Linked DNA regions of Diceros bicornis minor. The protein of the gene in region 1 purifies or fractionates together with the protein of each later gene. This does not show direct contact. Links are inferred from orthologs where the notes say so. Each region holds a gene or a part of one and is shown on either strand. Other genes may lie near its edges.

Region 1 (7,069 bases):
TACAAAAATGCATTTAGTTTGAGGGTAAAATATAACCCTTATTTGTAACCATTCATTACAGACAAACCAGTAAGAGGGATGAAACTAGGCCATCTGAAAATTTTTAAACAGTTTATAAGAATGAAAACACATGCTTAACACAAACTATTTCTTTAGAACTACACAGTACATACTTTGAAGTAAATTCTCATAGAAAGTAGTGACCAACTATGTCAAGATGATAAGCAAATCGCTTAGTACAAGAGATGGATGCACAGAAACTTTAAAGATTTTAAAAAGCCACATCCACCACTTCAAAAGTTTTGCCTGTAAGGGATAAAATTCAACAAGTCACTAGCAGGGAAACAAACAAAAAAAAAAAAACCACAGGACCTTTTAAACCTTTTAAAAGTTTCTCTTAAGTACACATCAAGAATTGAGAATTAACACGAAAAATTTTCAACTAATATCCCTTAAACGGTACGGAATGGATCCTAGAAAAAAAATGTTAGACATGTACGGTCAAACACAATGATTTATTAAAAATAAAACGTAAAAATGATTTTTGTACATATACTTCCAAATTTCAGGCATGGGATCCAAGTAGATTTCATAGAAAACGCTGTAGCCAGGTATCAAGTCCTTACAACAAAGTAAACTACCCCCCCACCCCAACCCCCGCCCAGGTTTTGCTACAGAATCAGCAAGTTCACTCCCTCCCCCCAAAAAAACACAAATTAAAACAAGACGTTTTGCTAGTATAAAAACGACCAAGGTCCAAGTAATAATAAAAAAATAGAGTCCATCAATGACTGTAACACAAAAATGTGTGTGTGGGGCCGAGTCCATCTTCAGAGGGAGAGACAAGAGGTGGCAGGCAAACAGGGCAACACCCCCAAGAGTAAGCAGCCTCAAAAGAGGCTCCCCCAAGGGCAAATGGGGAAGGCGGTGGGAGGGAAAGGGACTTAGGAATTGACCCTAGTCGGGCTGTCGAAAAGAGCTACCCCTATAGCCGCTCCCAGACATTTTTAAATTTTCTTTAGAAGGAGCTGCCTCCATAGCCACCCCCACCGCCATAGCCGCCTCTGTAAGGTCCACTGTTACTGCGACCGCCCCAGCTGCTGCCGCCGCCGCCGCCGCCGCCGCCACTCTTCATGGGCCCGTAGGAGGACTGGTGCTGGCTGTAGCTGCCGAAGCCGCCGAAGCCGTTACCGTAATCGCTTCCACCGTAGGACGACCCGCCGCCGCCGCCTCCGTAGGCATTGTAGCCGCCGCCGCCGCCGCCGCCGTAACCACCGTAGCTGTTGTAGCCGCCGCCGCCCTTCGACAGGCCGTTCTGGTCTCGACCACCGCCGCGCCCCCGGCCGCCTCGGCCGCCCCGGGAGGACCGGGAGCCGCCTCCGCCCCCTCCGGAGTGGATATCCTCCTTGGGCACGGCCTTCTTCACCTCCACGCGATGACCCTGGATCGGGTGGAACTTGACCACCGCGGCCTTGTCTGCCGCGTCGTGATTCTGAAAATACACGAAGCCGAAGCCGCGCTTCTTGCCGGACTGCTTGTCGGCAATGATCTCGGCTTTCTCCACGGTGCCGAACTGCGAGAAGTGCTCGATCAGGTCGCCCTCGGCCACGTCTCCCTTAAGGCCCCCGACAAAGAGCTTCTTAACCTTGGCGTGGGCACCGGGCCGCGCCGAATCCTCCCGGGACACCGCCCGCTTCAGCTCCACCGTGTTGCCGTCCACGGCGTGGGGCGAGGCGGCCATGGCGGCGTCGGCCTCCTCCACATTGGAGTAGGTCACGAAGCCGAAGCAACGGGAGCGCTTGGTCTGGGGGTTCACCACCACCACGCAGTCCGTCAGAGTCCCGAAGGCCTCAAAGTGGCCGCGCAGGCCCGACTCACTCGTCTGCACGTTGAGGCCGCCGATGAACAGCTTACACAACTGGGAATTCTCCATCTCCAAGGCCCGGGCCTTGCCCCCGCCCTGCGAGCTCCGAGGTTTCGCCGTCGCCGCTATCGTTGCCTGAGGCCTCTTCACAACTTGGGCCCAGCCGTTGCTGGAGCCGCCACCGCCGCTCACCGACGGGGAAGGGAAGAAGGGAAGGGGAGGGAAGGAGGAAAGAAGGAAGGGGGAGGGAAGGGGAGAGGTGCCGGCTAGAGGGCGAGCCGAGAAGACTGGAACACAACCAAGGCCGCCACTACCGCCACCGCCACCTCCGCTCCCCTATCTGGACACCACACAAAGAGGCCGCTGAACGCGCGCGCACCCTCCCCGAGGCGTGCGTCACCGCCGACGTACGGCAGCCCAGGGCTGTCAGCCAATCCCCGCCTCGCTCTCCTTAGTCCCGCCTACCGCGCCGCAGCGCCGCTCTCGGTCACGGACTCCCCGCCCTCCGCAGTCTATTCAAGCCCTCGGCCTCCGCGGCTCCGGCCGCCGGTTGTAGCGCCCCGCTTTCACTCCCGGGCTCCCCAGGGTGCCCTGACGGGGGACTCTCCTTGCCCTCCGCACACCTCCGCGGTTCATTTCCTGCCAGCCTCGCGGCTGTTCCCAGTGATTGTCCCCCTCCCCATGCCATACCCCATGGCCCAACTCCGCAGTGGCGTTCGCGCCAGCCCCTTGAGAGACATATCAGTTCAGCCAATCACCGCGATCCGCTCACACCCACTTCCGTTTTCGGCAGCGGCTGGACGGGCGCGCTCCCCGGTGCGCGCCGGCCCCGGCGTCCCCTGTGTGCAGAGCTTGCATGCCACCCCCACGCCCCCTCCCGCGCGCGGCTTGGTGCGGGGCTGGGGGCGGGGGAGGGAAGAGCGGAGGCGCGCTGGGGGCCGTTCCCAACGGATGCGGCCTGGGGCGTCACGCGCGGGCTTTTTGAAAACTTGGCTGTTGGGGATGGGGGCCTGGATTTACCCGCCGCGTTTGGACCCGGCCGCTACACCTGGCGTCCTCGCCCCTCCCGTCCGCACAAAGATGGAGGGTAGAGCCGTGGTCGGGGAAGGCGGTTAGTAACCGTTTACGGTGGGCCCCACGCGCAGTTAAACTAAAACATTGGCACGTGGCCCTGCGCAAAAGCGAGCCCCAGGCACTATGAAGGACAACCGTGTGCCAAAACCGACTCAGCCTTTCCCACCGAGGTGTGGCGCGAGAGCCCGCCGCTCTTTGGCCGTCCGCGAAGCCCTCCCGCGACGCCCCTCTCAGCGCCCTTCGCGCACTCCGACAGCAGACATTTTCATTTTACCTCAGTAAACACACCACTTTATATGTTTAATTTACGTTATCTATGCGTTGCTTCCTTCCCGACTAAAACGTTTGCCTTTTAAAGGCCTTTTATATCAGACTGGGAGCCGAGGAAGTTAAACACATGAACATTATATACAAATATCATCCACCCTGATAACTGCCTTACAGACCCTCACTCAGGCGGGACTGCATGAGAATTATAACGGCTTCCGTTTATTGCACCTTCGTGCGCCAAGCAAGATACATGGAGGGGCACATAATATGAGACATTACGTGACCCCCAAAACCATGTGGTAAATATTGAAGAAGAGGAATCCCTCGTATCCTGAAGTAGTCAGGAATGACTTGTGAAAGAGGTGGAAGTTGCACTGAACCTCAGAGTCAAAGGCTAAATAAGATTTCTATAGGGCGTTTGAGCAAAATCAGGAGGAAACAAGCTACAGAAGTTTCAAGGGGCAGTGAGCGGACCAGTTTGACGGGAGCAGGAGGTTTTTGATAGAAAATATTAAGAGGTAAGATAGGTTAAGGGTCTTTGATATGGAATATCTTGAATTTTAGATTGAGTTTGAATATTATTCCGAAGGTATACAGATAGGCTACAGGGTTTGGGGACAAACTAGAGTCTGGCTCTACCACTTAGTAACCCTGTGACCATCGAGTTGTGTGACTTTGAGCAAGTCACTTAACCTTTTTTAAAACTTAGTTTTATTATCTGAAAGTCAGAACAATAAAACACCTTCCAAGTGTGGTAAAAATTAAATGAGATTCTGCATGTAAACGCAGAGCACTGTGCTGGCCATAGTAAGTGCTCCATTTATCCAACAAATACTATACCAGGTGCTGGGAATATGGCAGTAAACAATAGACAAAAATCTCTGCCCTCATGGAGCTTATGTTCTAGTGGGGAGAAGCAGACAATAAATGAGAATGGTATATAGCATGTCAGATAGTGATAAGTGCCATTGAAAAATTAAAAGAGAAGGTCAATAGGATGCTCTTACCCTGTTACAAACAAGTCAGATATGTCAGCTTTTGCTAACTGATTGATGACAAAGAATGAGGAAAATAAAAGCACTCCAATGTTTGAAATCTGGGAGTCTAAAATTGCAGCAGGGTAGAATTAGAAAATCTAAGAAAAGAAACTATTTTGGAGGGAGTAGGGGGAGATGATGAACATGGTTGTTAAAGATGATACTGGGATATTCACGGGGCCCTGTTTTCTGGGATGCCCAAGACTATAGCTCGGATAAGAGATTAGACCTTAAGAAATCTACTTTAGAGTCATCCAAAAAATGTTAAAGCAGTAAAAGATGAATTTCTGAAGAGAATAAGACCATAACTTATTTTCCCATCTAAACTAAATTTTAAAGAAATAGTTTTCTCCTACGTTGTTTTAAAATAATCACACCACCTAATTGGGGATCCATTAATTTCTATTGACAAGAAAGCTTCATAGAGGCATATGTCCAGTATAAGCCATGCATATAGAAGAGGGGTAGGGATGATGGGAGACAACACAAGCATGTTTGAGAGACATTTAGGAAGCCAGGATAAATGCAAGATAATTGGAATGTTAGATTCTTTTCGGAGATTAGATTAGTAAAGGTAGGGATAGTGAATAAGAGTGTTATATAAACACTTAAATGATGCAATTTCCTACCCCTCAGACTATTCAGGGAGAAAAACTTTTTTTTTTCCTATTCTACTTTTCGTTGCCTGAGTTTGTTTCTTGGCTTTACCTTACTTACAGGTGTCTCAGCCTTCCAAAACAAAGAAATGTAAAAATGTAACTGAAATTTAGGCAACTTTTGGTTTCCATCCCTCCTACAAGCTTGATTACAAAAACCTAATTGAATGTGGTGGTTACACAACTCATAGAACTGCATATTAAAAAGGGTTTATTTTACCGTACCTAAATTATACTTAGAAAAAGAAAAAGACAGAAAGAGAACAGGAGAAAGGGGGAAAAAACGAACTGAAGAAGAAAAGGAAAACTATCAGCAGCAACTCTGGGTTTTTTTTTGGTCAATTTTCTATTACACCCAAAAGTGTCTTTTTGCAGTTAGGATTATGTTATGGACTGAATTGTGTCTCCCCTCACCCGCCCCCCACCCAAATTCATATGTTGAAGCCCTAGCCCCCAGTACTTCTGAATGTAACTGTAACCAAAAATAAGGTTTTTAAAGAGGTGATTAACTTAAAATGAGGCCATTAGGGTGGGGCCTTAATCCAATATGACTAGTGTCCTTATAAAAAGTGGAAGAGACGCCAAGGGCACATATGCGCAGAAGGATGACCACGTGAGGAGGCAGCAAGTGGGTGGCCGTCTGCAAGCCAAGGAAAGAGGGTCTCAGGAGAATCCAACCCTGCCAGCACCTGGAGCTTGGACTTCCAGCCTCCAGAACTTCGAGAAAATAAATTTCTGTTGTTTAACCCACCCATTCTGTGGTATTTTGTTATGGCAGCCCTAGCAAACTAATACATATTCCATTTTTATGTACTCAAGGTATCTTCCAAAAAGGCACTCTCTGCCAGCTGTGATGAAGTACAATCTTCCTAGTGGACTCTTAAAAACTCACATCAAAAGTTAAAATTTGAGGGGCCGGCCCGGTGGCGCAAACGGTTAAGTGCGCGGGCTCCGCTGCGGCGGCCCGGGGTTCGCTGGTTCGGATCCGGGCGCGCACCGACGCACTGCTTGGTAAGCCATGCTGTGGCGGCGTCCCATATAAAGTGGAGGAAGATGGGCACAGATGTTAGCCCAGGGCCATCTTCCTCAGCAAAAAAAAAGAGGAGGATTGGCGGATGTTAGCTCAGGGCTGATCTCCTCACAAAAAAAAAAAAAAAAAAAAAAAAAAAGTTAAAATTTGACCCATCCTTTTGAACCAGAAATGATGCTTCTGGAAATTTATCCTAAGGAAATAATTAAGGATCTGTGTAAGGATTTAGCTACAAGGATGTTCACTTCAATACTGTTTATACTAGAAAAAAATTGGAAATTACCTAATTGCTCCCAATTAACCAATTACATAAAAAAGGAACTAAATATTCTCTCTAAGAATATTATGAAGCAATTAAATTGATATTGTAAAGGAACAATAATGACGTGTTTGCGTATGAATCTTATGCCATCATGATGATGTGTGAAAGGTCACATTGCTTATTTTACCAAATCAAATTAATTCTGAACTTAATTTGAACCCCATACTTGAACAGAATGGCAAAAATGTAGATTGGGGCTCCTCTCACCCTTTTTCACTCAGAGGCCTTTGCCTCTCTCCCCTTCCCCTCTTTGGCTATCTAAGAGAAATGCCCTCAATAAAATGCTTTTTGTAAAAAAAAAAAAAAAAATAGGCACATGGAGGCTTAGTTTTACAAGTTGCTCCTGAGGCAGCAGAATACACAGACCTATTTAATCTGTGAAGATATTACTTGTATCTTGTTCTACTGCCTGTGTATTCCCTTGCCTCAGGTGCAAAATCCAGGCTTTGAGAAGGGATTTATATTTGTTTCCTTCACTTGAGAGGGGACATCAAAGGAGGAGGGCTTGATGTGAAAAAAGGATAGCTTCCCAAGTCTAGGAGAAGTGACCAGACAAAAGGTACAAACTTCTAGTTATAAGATGAATAAGTCCTGGGGATATAATGTACAGCATGATGATAATAGTTAACAATACTGTATTGTATATTTGAAAGTTGCCAAGAGAGTAGATTTTAAAAGTTTTCATCACAAGAAAAAAAAATTGTGACTATGTTTGGTGATGGATGTTAACTAAACTTATTGTGGTAATCATTTTGCAATATATAAATATATCAAATCATTCTGTTGTACACCTAAAACTAGTACAATGTCATGTGT
Region 2 (8,124 bases), on another chromosome or scaffold:
TCTTCTCATGTAACAGAATGTTCCACATTAAAATTGAATTTTATAAGATCCAAGAACAAGCTCTCCATCTGTATTTATTTTAAACACTTTGACTTGAAGCAATCAAGAATTGCTCCACTTTCTACAGGAGTTAGTAAAACAGCAAACAGCTGATCCAACTTTTCTACCATGCACTACTGGTATCATAGAAGTTGAGGAAGATGCATGTTCTAATTAGAATAATCCACCTCTCAGACTGTTCTAAAAGTAATGCTCACATGAAAATGATTTATAATGAACCAGAATAGCAGGCAAGTCACAATAAAGAACATTCTCCAACATGCAACGCATTAACATTTCCAAATAGAAAACACTGTTCTTTTAACACCAAAATAAGCCTCAAAAATCACATAAATGTAAACTGTATTCTTTAGTACCTCACACATGAATTTCTGCCTGTTTTTGTTCCCCACTGCTCTAATTTCATAGGATGGGGTCATCTTCCTTTTGCCACACCAGGCATACAGAAAATTTTTAACATCACCCATGTTTCAAATATCTTCTTCAGACCTAAGAAAACAATAGTTAAAAACAGCATTATTTATAAGAGCAAATATTGGAAATTACCAATCTGGAAATAAACAATAAGTGAGATTTACTGAAAATCCAGGTTAAGTACAGGATATTCTATCATGCTGCTATTAAAATCACCTATGAGGAAACTTTAAAGACATGATTGGAAAGTTCATGACACATTACAAGAAGGAGCAGGCTACAAAACTGTAAGATCTGAACTATGTAACAAGTATATATGCATAAATCAAGACTGGAAAGAAATATGCCCCAAAATGGTTATCTTTGGGTGACTATGAGTGATTTTTATCTTTTCTTAAAAAATATTTGACGTAATGTACTCCCCCATATTTTTTTTTTTTTTTTTTTTACAATAAGCATCTTACGTGTCTTAATTCACTTAATTCTCACAACGATGGAAGACAACATTACATGGTAGATACTATCATCATCTTTTACAGAGGTAGAAACTAGGGCATAGAAAGTTTAAGTAACTTTTCCCAGTCACTCACTTGTGGAGGCCTAAATTCAAATTCAGAGTGCCAAGTTGGCACTCTCCCTCTACTCCAGTTTATAAGATACCAAAAGACATGGTGCCTATGAATCTAAAATCTGAGTCTAATTTACAAGATACCTGAGACCAAATTTAGAACCAATGAAAATATGCTATGAATTTGGTTTGCTGTGAGAAGAAATCCCATTACTAACATTAAACTTTGGTCTTCTGTTAATGTTTAGTGTATTTTGTTAGCACCAAAGTCTAATGTCATCAAACTGGACCCTAGCATAAACTTGTTAATAAGTTTATTCTGCAGCCAGAGGCTAATCCTGGGGACATCCTATTAACTGAAAAGCTACGGAAAGCTGAAGATGTCTATCTATAAACTCCACTCCTGAATAATTAATTCAAAAAACAAGCCCTCAGGGTGAATGAGTAACATGAAATATGAAGGACTACACTATCTAATTCCTTCCTCCCTAGGTAGTTTCATCTAACTCTGTAATATTCAGTATCAAGTATATGCTAATGATGCCCAAACTGATATATATTGAAAATTCAGTCTTTTCTCTTCAAATTTCAAAATCAAGTTTATCTAGGCGCCGGCCCATGGCATAGTTCAGTGGTTCAGGTCCCTGGCGTGGACCTACTGTGGTAGTGTCCCATATACAAAACAGAGGAAGACTGGCACAGATGTTAGTTCAGGGACAATCTTCCTCAAGCAAAAAGAGGAAGACTGGCAACAGATGTTAGCTCAGGGCCAATCTTCTTCACCAAAATAAAACAAAAACAAAAACAAAAAAAGGAAGACTGGCAACAGATGTTAGCTCACGGCTTATCTTCCTCAGCAAAAACATTTTTTAAAAAATCAAGTTCATCCAACTGCAGCACTAACATACCCAGTTGAATGCTAATTTGGCATCTCAGTCAAAACAGAATTTTAAAATTCCTCCCAAACCTCTTCCTCCTCCCCCTAATCCCAGTGTTCCCATCTCCTTAAATGGCACCACCATCCACTCACGTCACAATCTGGGAGTCATCCACTCCTTCAAGATCCTCCATAGCTATCCCTTGTGGAGCCCTTTCTGTGTACCAGACAGTAAGAATCCTGAGGATCATCTACATGAACTATTTTACTTAACCCTTACAACAACTGTATAGATACGCATTATTATCATCCCCTTTTTACAGATAGGTAAACTGAGACAAAGAATAACTTGCCCAAAAGACAGAGCTCTAAGTGGGGGACCCAGAATTCCAAACCAGATAATCCGACTCCTGATCTACTACGCAATTCTGCCTCCAAAACATGTCTCTAATCCATTCGCTTCTCTCCATCTCCCCTGCCACCGCTACTGCACACCGGAGTACTGCAATCACGTCCTAAATGACGCCCCCGTTTCTACTCTAGCCACCCTAAAATCCGTTCTTCTCTTAAATCCTCACCACACTCCAGTCACATGGCCTTCTTTCAGCTTCTTTCCAATCCCTGCCTTTAAGCGCTAACTAATCCCTTCTGCCCCTGCAGTTCAGCTTTTCCTCCGCATCTTTACGGCTGACGCCATTCTCGGTCTCAAGGCCGAGATACCAGCTCAAAGGTCGACCTCTTCCAAAACGCCTTCCCTTTCCATCCCACCTAAAGTAGCTCTCTCCCTTTACACGCCGTAATTCCTCTCTCTTCACCGAAACCTGCAGACATTTGTTCTCCTACAGCCCCCACCCCCACCACGACCACAACCTCGGCGAGGGAAGGGCAGGGCCCCCGCCTAACGTGTGCACTGCTCTTCCCACAGCGCCTGCGGGGCAGCGCCCAGTATTTACGGCCTGAATGAATGAATGAAGGGCTCTGGGCGCGTCGGCGTCACGGCGGGCTCACCACCAGACCATTCACCCCCTTTCACTCAGCGGCGACGGCGACAGCGCCACCGCCGCGCGCTGGCCGGAGGAGGAAGTAGGGTCGGGCTGCTTCGGAGACAGGACTGGGAATCGCCGGGCGAAGGACTGGGGGCCACAACGCGGCCCCCGGCGGCGCGGCGAGCAGCACACGACCCGCAATCCGGGCACCCGGCGGGGCGGCTCCCCCTTCCCCCACCCGCCGCCGCCGCCCGCGCTCCGCAACAAAGCCCGGCTGCAGAGCCGCGAGGCTCCACGCCGCCCCAACGGGTGGCAAAGACGTCTTTCTCCTACCGACCTCCGCTTCCTGGTGCCGGAGAACACAGCTCTCTCACGACCGCCCGTGACGCCGGCCTTCCTCACCAACACCCAGCACGCGCACCGCAACTTGCATGGAAGCGGCAGCGAAATGGCTCCGACGGCGGCGCCAGAGGGGCGGGGTCAGTGCACGTACGCATGCGCAGAGCGCGAGGCTGGGCCAGAGGGCGCCCGGAGGGAGGGGCGGGGCCGCAGCAACCTCGCCGCGGGTAGCGTCCCGTCGCCTGGGAGATCCGCGGAGCTTAGCCCGCCGCGCCCCAGTCCCGCTTCTTCTTGTAGTGCGCTAGCTGCCTTTAAACATTTTGGGGAGTTGGGGACCTGTAGCATTTTGATGCTGCAAAATGTTTCGCTTAAGGGGGCCTCTGGTAGATGAGGTCCTTTGAAGCCAGAACTGGAAATCTTAGGTGCTATCTTCACAGGGTTGTTGAGATGATTAAATGAGTCGGCATATGAAGGGGCCTTAGCGCAAGACGTGGCACATGATTGGCGTTCAATAGGTATTGTTATTGTAGTGACTGAGATACTCCAACGCGAAAGTCTCCTGAAAGAGAAATAAGCTCAGTGAAGGCAGGAACCCTGACTGGCTAGCTCGGGCCACTCACCGCAGTGCTTGGCACATCCTAAGTGCCTGGGAAAAACTAGTTTAATAAATGGGTAAAACCTGCAGGGCTGTTTTTGCTTAAATTGGATAGCTTTTTGTCTTCAGAGTCTTTGGAATACTTTGTATCCTTAACTATTATATAGCAGTCACTGTTAAATTTTTTAACTCTAGTTCTTCCCATGAAGGCAACAATACAAAATAGTTCAAGTTGGGTTTGTTCCAGATACTGGTTGTCCCATTATGTGGGCCCATCATACTATCCATCCTTATTTTTCACCTCTTTCATTACGTTTTTTCTTAACTCTTGCTCACAGTAATCAATCCCTTTAACTTGGTTGCTCTTACAATCAAACAGTTTATAATTTACCCATTCTTTTATTTTCTTTATGTGTTTGCTCTCTTCAATTAAGAGTAAAATCATTTGAGGGAAAGACCTTTATCTTTTATTTATTTCGTACCCACCAGGGGAATCAAAGCAGCAGATACCTGAGTTATTTATGATAAGAGACACTCAACTAGCATAAATGGATTGCAAGTGTTTTGTAGTAGGTAATGAACACAGCAAAAGTGTCAGCATATTAAGTGTAAATAAAATATTCAGAGGTGGATCTTTACCTTCCAAGGATTAAGGAAAATTTTATTATTGATTTGGTTCTTTTTTGTGTGTTAGGAAGATCAGCCCTGTGCTAACATCTGCCAATCCTCCTCTTTTTTGTTTTGCTGAGGAAGACTGGCCCTGGGCTAACATCCGTGCCCATCTTCCTCCACTTTATATGGGAGGCCGCCACAGCATGGCTTGCCAGGTGGTGCGTTGGTGCACACCTGGGATCCAAACCAGCGAACCCCGGGCCCCCCACAGCAGAGGGCGAGCACTTAACTGCTTGGGCCACCAGGCTGGCCCGATTTGGTTCTTAATTTAGGCCTTGCACCTGAGACCTAGAGTCCCCAGGGAATTGGCATTACCTTTGTAGGTTGCCCCAGGCAACTAGCACCTCTAAGATCTTCCTTAACATTTGCAGATGAAGCTTCAAAACATGCTCCAGAAATACAGAAAGTTGACAGATTTCAATCCAACTATTAACTGTTCCTAGTATATGACTATCTAGAAAACTACAGAGGTTAGTAAAGCAAGACAGAGCAGTGTGGGAATTTTTTTAAGCTTGGTAAGGAAATAAGTAACATTCTTCCTACCTGAGAATGTGGAACTGAGGCTACAGATCACTCATAAAGATCAAATAATGAAAGGTCTGTTTCAAATGGGTTACTTAACATTTCACATTTACCTTCTTGGCTAGAAATGACTTAGTTCCTGAGTTTGGTAGAAAATAAAGGTTATAAAGATATATCTTAATCTGTAGATTGTATGTGGAAAAAAACTGGCAAAGTTTCTCATATCATTTCTTACTTCTGCCAATCCAACAGACTGAGGCCAAGTTTCTGGCAAGGAGGATGGGATGGTTATAACCGACACTTATGGTTGAAATGGATGATGAGAAATGGAAGAGGATGTTTTGACTCATCACTCTTCCTCTGTTTCTCAAATACACAAAGAGTTGGAGAGGAGGAATGGATTAAGAAAACCTGATGCCAGAACTAGGCTGTAAGCAAGGTCATGATGTCTTGAGGAGGCCAGTGCTGGTGACGTTTGAGCCCACTCAGCGGCTTGTGAACACCAATGACACTTGCGCCCTTCATTGCTCTTGTACTAGCATATACAGTGTTGTACCCAGGCAGGGATGAAGCTTTTCCTTTTTAAAAAAGGTTCACAGAGACTTCCTGACAGCTTGGATGGCTTGACTTCAGACTCTTAGGAAGCTGCCTACGCTGCTGAATAGGCTGAAGTCCACGTAGTCAGGATTCTTCTTGAACCATTACATTCTTTCCACTTCCAAACCCAGAATGAATTAGGTTAAAATTGGTAGGTTTACATTAAGAAGATATAAAAAAGACAAAAGAAGTGAAATTTCAGGGTAGAGAGAAAGGTAGAATTTAGAGACAGAGAGAAGGTGGGTGCTCTTTGCATCCCAGGAAGGTATCCAGTCCAAGTGATCCTGTGGGCCAGACTCTTCTGGTGCTCTTACCAGCGCATCCACGGAACCTGGATGTCAGACAGGATGACGGGAAATATCTATAAAAAATATCCCCTTAAAGGAAAGTTCAAAGGTACAAACTGTAAGGCAAAAAACTAAAGGCATGGATTATATTAAAATTAAGGCTAGGGGCCGGCCTGGTGGCACAAGCCGTTAAGTGCGTGCGCTCCGCTGCGGTGGCCCAGGGTTCACCAGTTCGGATCCCAGGCGTGCACCGACGCACGGCTTCGCAAGCCATGCTGTGGCGGCGTCCCATATAAAGTGGAGGAAGATGGGCATGGATGTTAGCCCAGGGTCAGTCTTCCTCAGCAAAAAAAACAGGAGGATTGGCAGATGTTAGCACAGGGCTGATCTTCGTGATAAAAAAACAAAAACAAAAAAATTAAGGCTATCAGCTCAATAAAAGACACCATGAATGAAGTTAATAGATAGTTGAAAGAGTTGGGGAAGATGTTCATGATGTTTAAGGTTGTCAAGAGATGATTAACTATTCTAAACTATTCAAGGAACTCCTTCAAATCAACAAGAAAAATGTAGCAATCCTCACAGAAAAATGGGCAAAGGCCACGAAGCAGCAATTTTCAGAAGAGGGAAACCAAAAGGTCACTAAGCATATTCAAGGTGCTCAAAAGCATTAGTAACAAGAGAAATGCATTTAAAACAGCAGTCAGATATCACCACATGCCCATTAGATTGGCAAAAATTAGAAAAGTGAATAATGTCAAATGTTGGTGGTGATGTGGGGATATAAGATTCACCACACGCAGCTGGTAAAAAAGTAGACTGGTACAGCCATTCTGGAGAGAAATCTGATACTAGTCAAACAAATTGTTTGGGTGGGTAAAATCAAACAAGTCTGCTCTTGGAGATATATATATACACCTATATATATATTATTGAGATCTATATCAAAGAAATTCTCATGTAAGTCCAAAAAAGAACAGTAAGATATGTTTATTACAGCATTGCTTGAGTTGGCAGGGAGCAGCAATTTGGGTGCTCCTCCCTAGACAGATAAAATGTAGTGGATGTTAACCATGGAATCCAATGCAGCAGAAGAAATGAATTAGATATACACAAACCTTAAAGGCACAGGGATAAATGAAAAGAATAAGGAACAAAATAAGTTATATAACAGCATTTATATAAATAAAAAACAGCAATACATATTTTGCATAAAAAATTGTAAAAGATCACATTAAACACATCAGAATGGATGTCTATCACAGGGGGAGAGGAATGGGACTGAGGAATTATTTAAAAAAGGAGATTCAACAATTCTAGACTCCCTCAGATAGATGTGGAAGATTGTAAATGATAAGGATGTCAAGGACAGACATATGGTCTAATTCCTACTTACATTAACTAAAAGAAATATTTATTGAAAGCATTTTTTTTGTACTAGGCACTGTTCTAGAGGAAACAGCCCTAAACAAGACAGATGAGATCCTTTTCTCATGGAGATTGCTCTTAGAGACTTCCGTGATAGAGCAGCTTTTATCAAACACTCTGAAGGAAGAAAAAAATCAAAAGAAAACAGCTGTTTGAAGCATTAGAAAGCAATCAAGGAAGCTAATATATGTGAGGGGCCAAAATCCTGAGGAAGCAGCAGCAGCAGAGATTTTGTGTCACTTCTCACTTGGAAGTGTGGGAGATCAAAATTTGGCCACCCTGAAATATATCTCTTTACCTTGATTGTTTTCTCTGAAGGACATTTGACCTCCCCCACTAACTGCCTAAAGAATTTGACATGGTGGCTCCTTCCTGGAACAGATCTTCCATCTGATGGCTGTAATATAATGTAAAATAGATGTTACAATAGGAAAGGCACCAACAAGCCCATCTTATCAGAAATTCTGTCTCTCTGGCCACATTCTCTGGATGGCCCTGCGAGGAGTTGCCAGACAAACATTTACATTTATAAGGGAAATCTCCATTTGTAAAGGTATCTCCCTTTCTGTCTTGGGAAGAGGGGGGATGACCTCATTTCTAGAAACTTATCAATGTGGAAGGTGAGGTCTTAAATCTGCATAATAACCTTACCTTTGTTTACAGTGCTTTAGTGGTAATCTCCTGTAACTGACACCCCCCACCCCCAACATCCTCCTTTGTCTTTAGAAGAAGATGGTATTTAAGATGAGAATTTCTGCTATTGTGTTGAGAAACGCGTG

What was found.
Region 2: the proteins of HNRNPA0 (region 1) and DHX9 purify together in Homo sapiens (affinity purification with mass spectrometry; 3 studies listed by BioGRID and IntAct, with this or other methods). This does not show direct contact. The link is inferred for Diceros bicornis minor from reciprocal best matches to the Homo sapiens genes HNRNPA0 and DHX9.

The regions. Positions count from the first base shown.
Region 1 is NC_080740.1:56,395,191-56,402,259, forward strand, and holds HNRNPA0 (heterogeneous nuclear ribonucleoprotein A0), read right to left. Parts: upstream 2,023-7,069; 5' UTR 1,934-2,022; coding exon 1,019-1,933; 3' UTR 661-1,018; downstream 1-660. UniProt on the Homo sapiens protein: mRNA-binding component of ribonucleosomes. Specifically binds AU-rich element (ARE)-containing mRNAs. Involved in post-transcriptional regulation of cytokines mRNAs.
Region 2 is NC_080743.1:84,571,331-84,579,454, forward strand, and holds the start of DHX9 (ATP-dependent RNA helicase A), read right to left. Parts: upstream 3,349-8,124; 5' UTR 3,243-3,348; intron 550-3,242; 5' UTR 528-549; coding exon 417-527; intron 1-416. UniProt on the Homo sapiens protein: Multifunctional ATP-dependent nucleic acid helicase that unwinds DNA and RNA in a 3' to 5' direction and that plays important roles in many processes, such as DNA replication, transcriptional activation, post-transcriptional RNA regulation, mRNA translation and RNA-mediated gene silencing.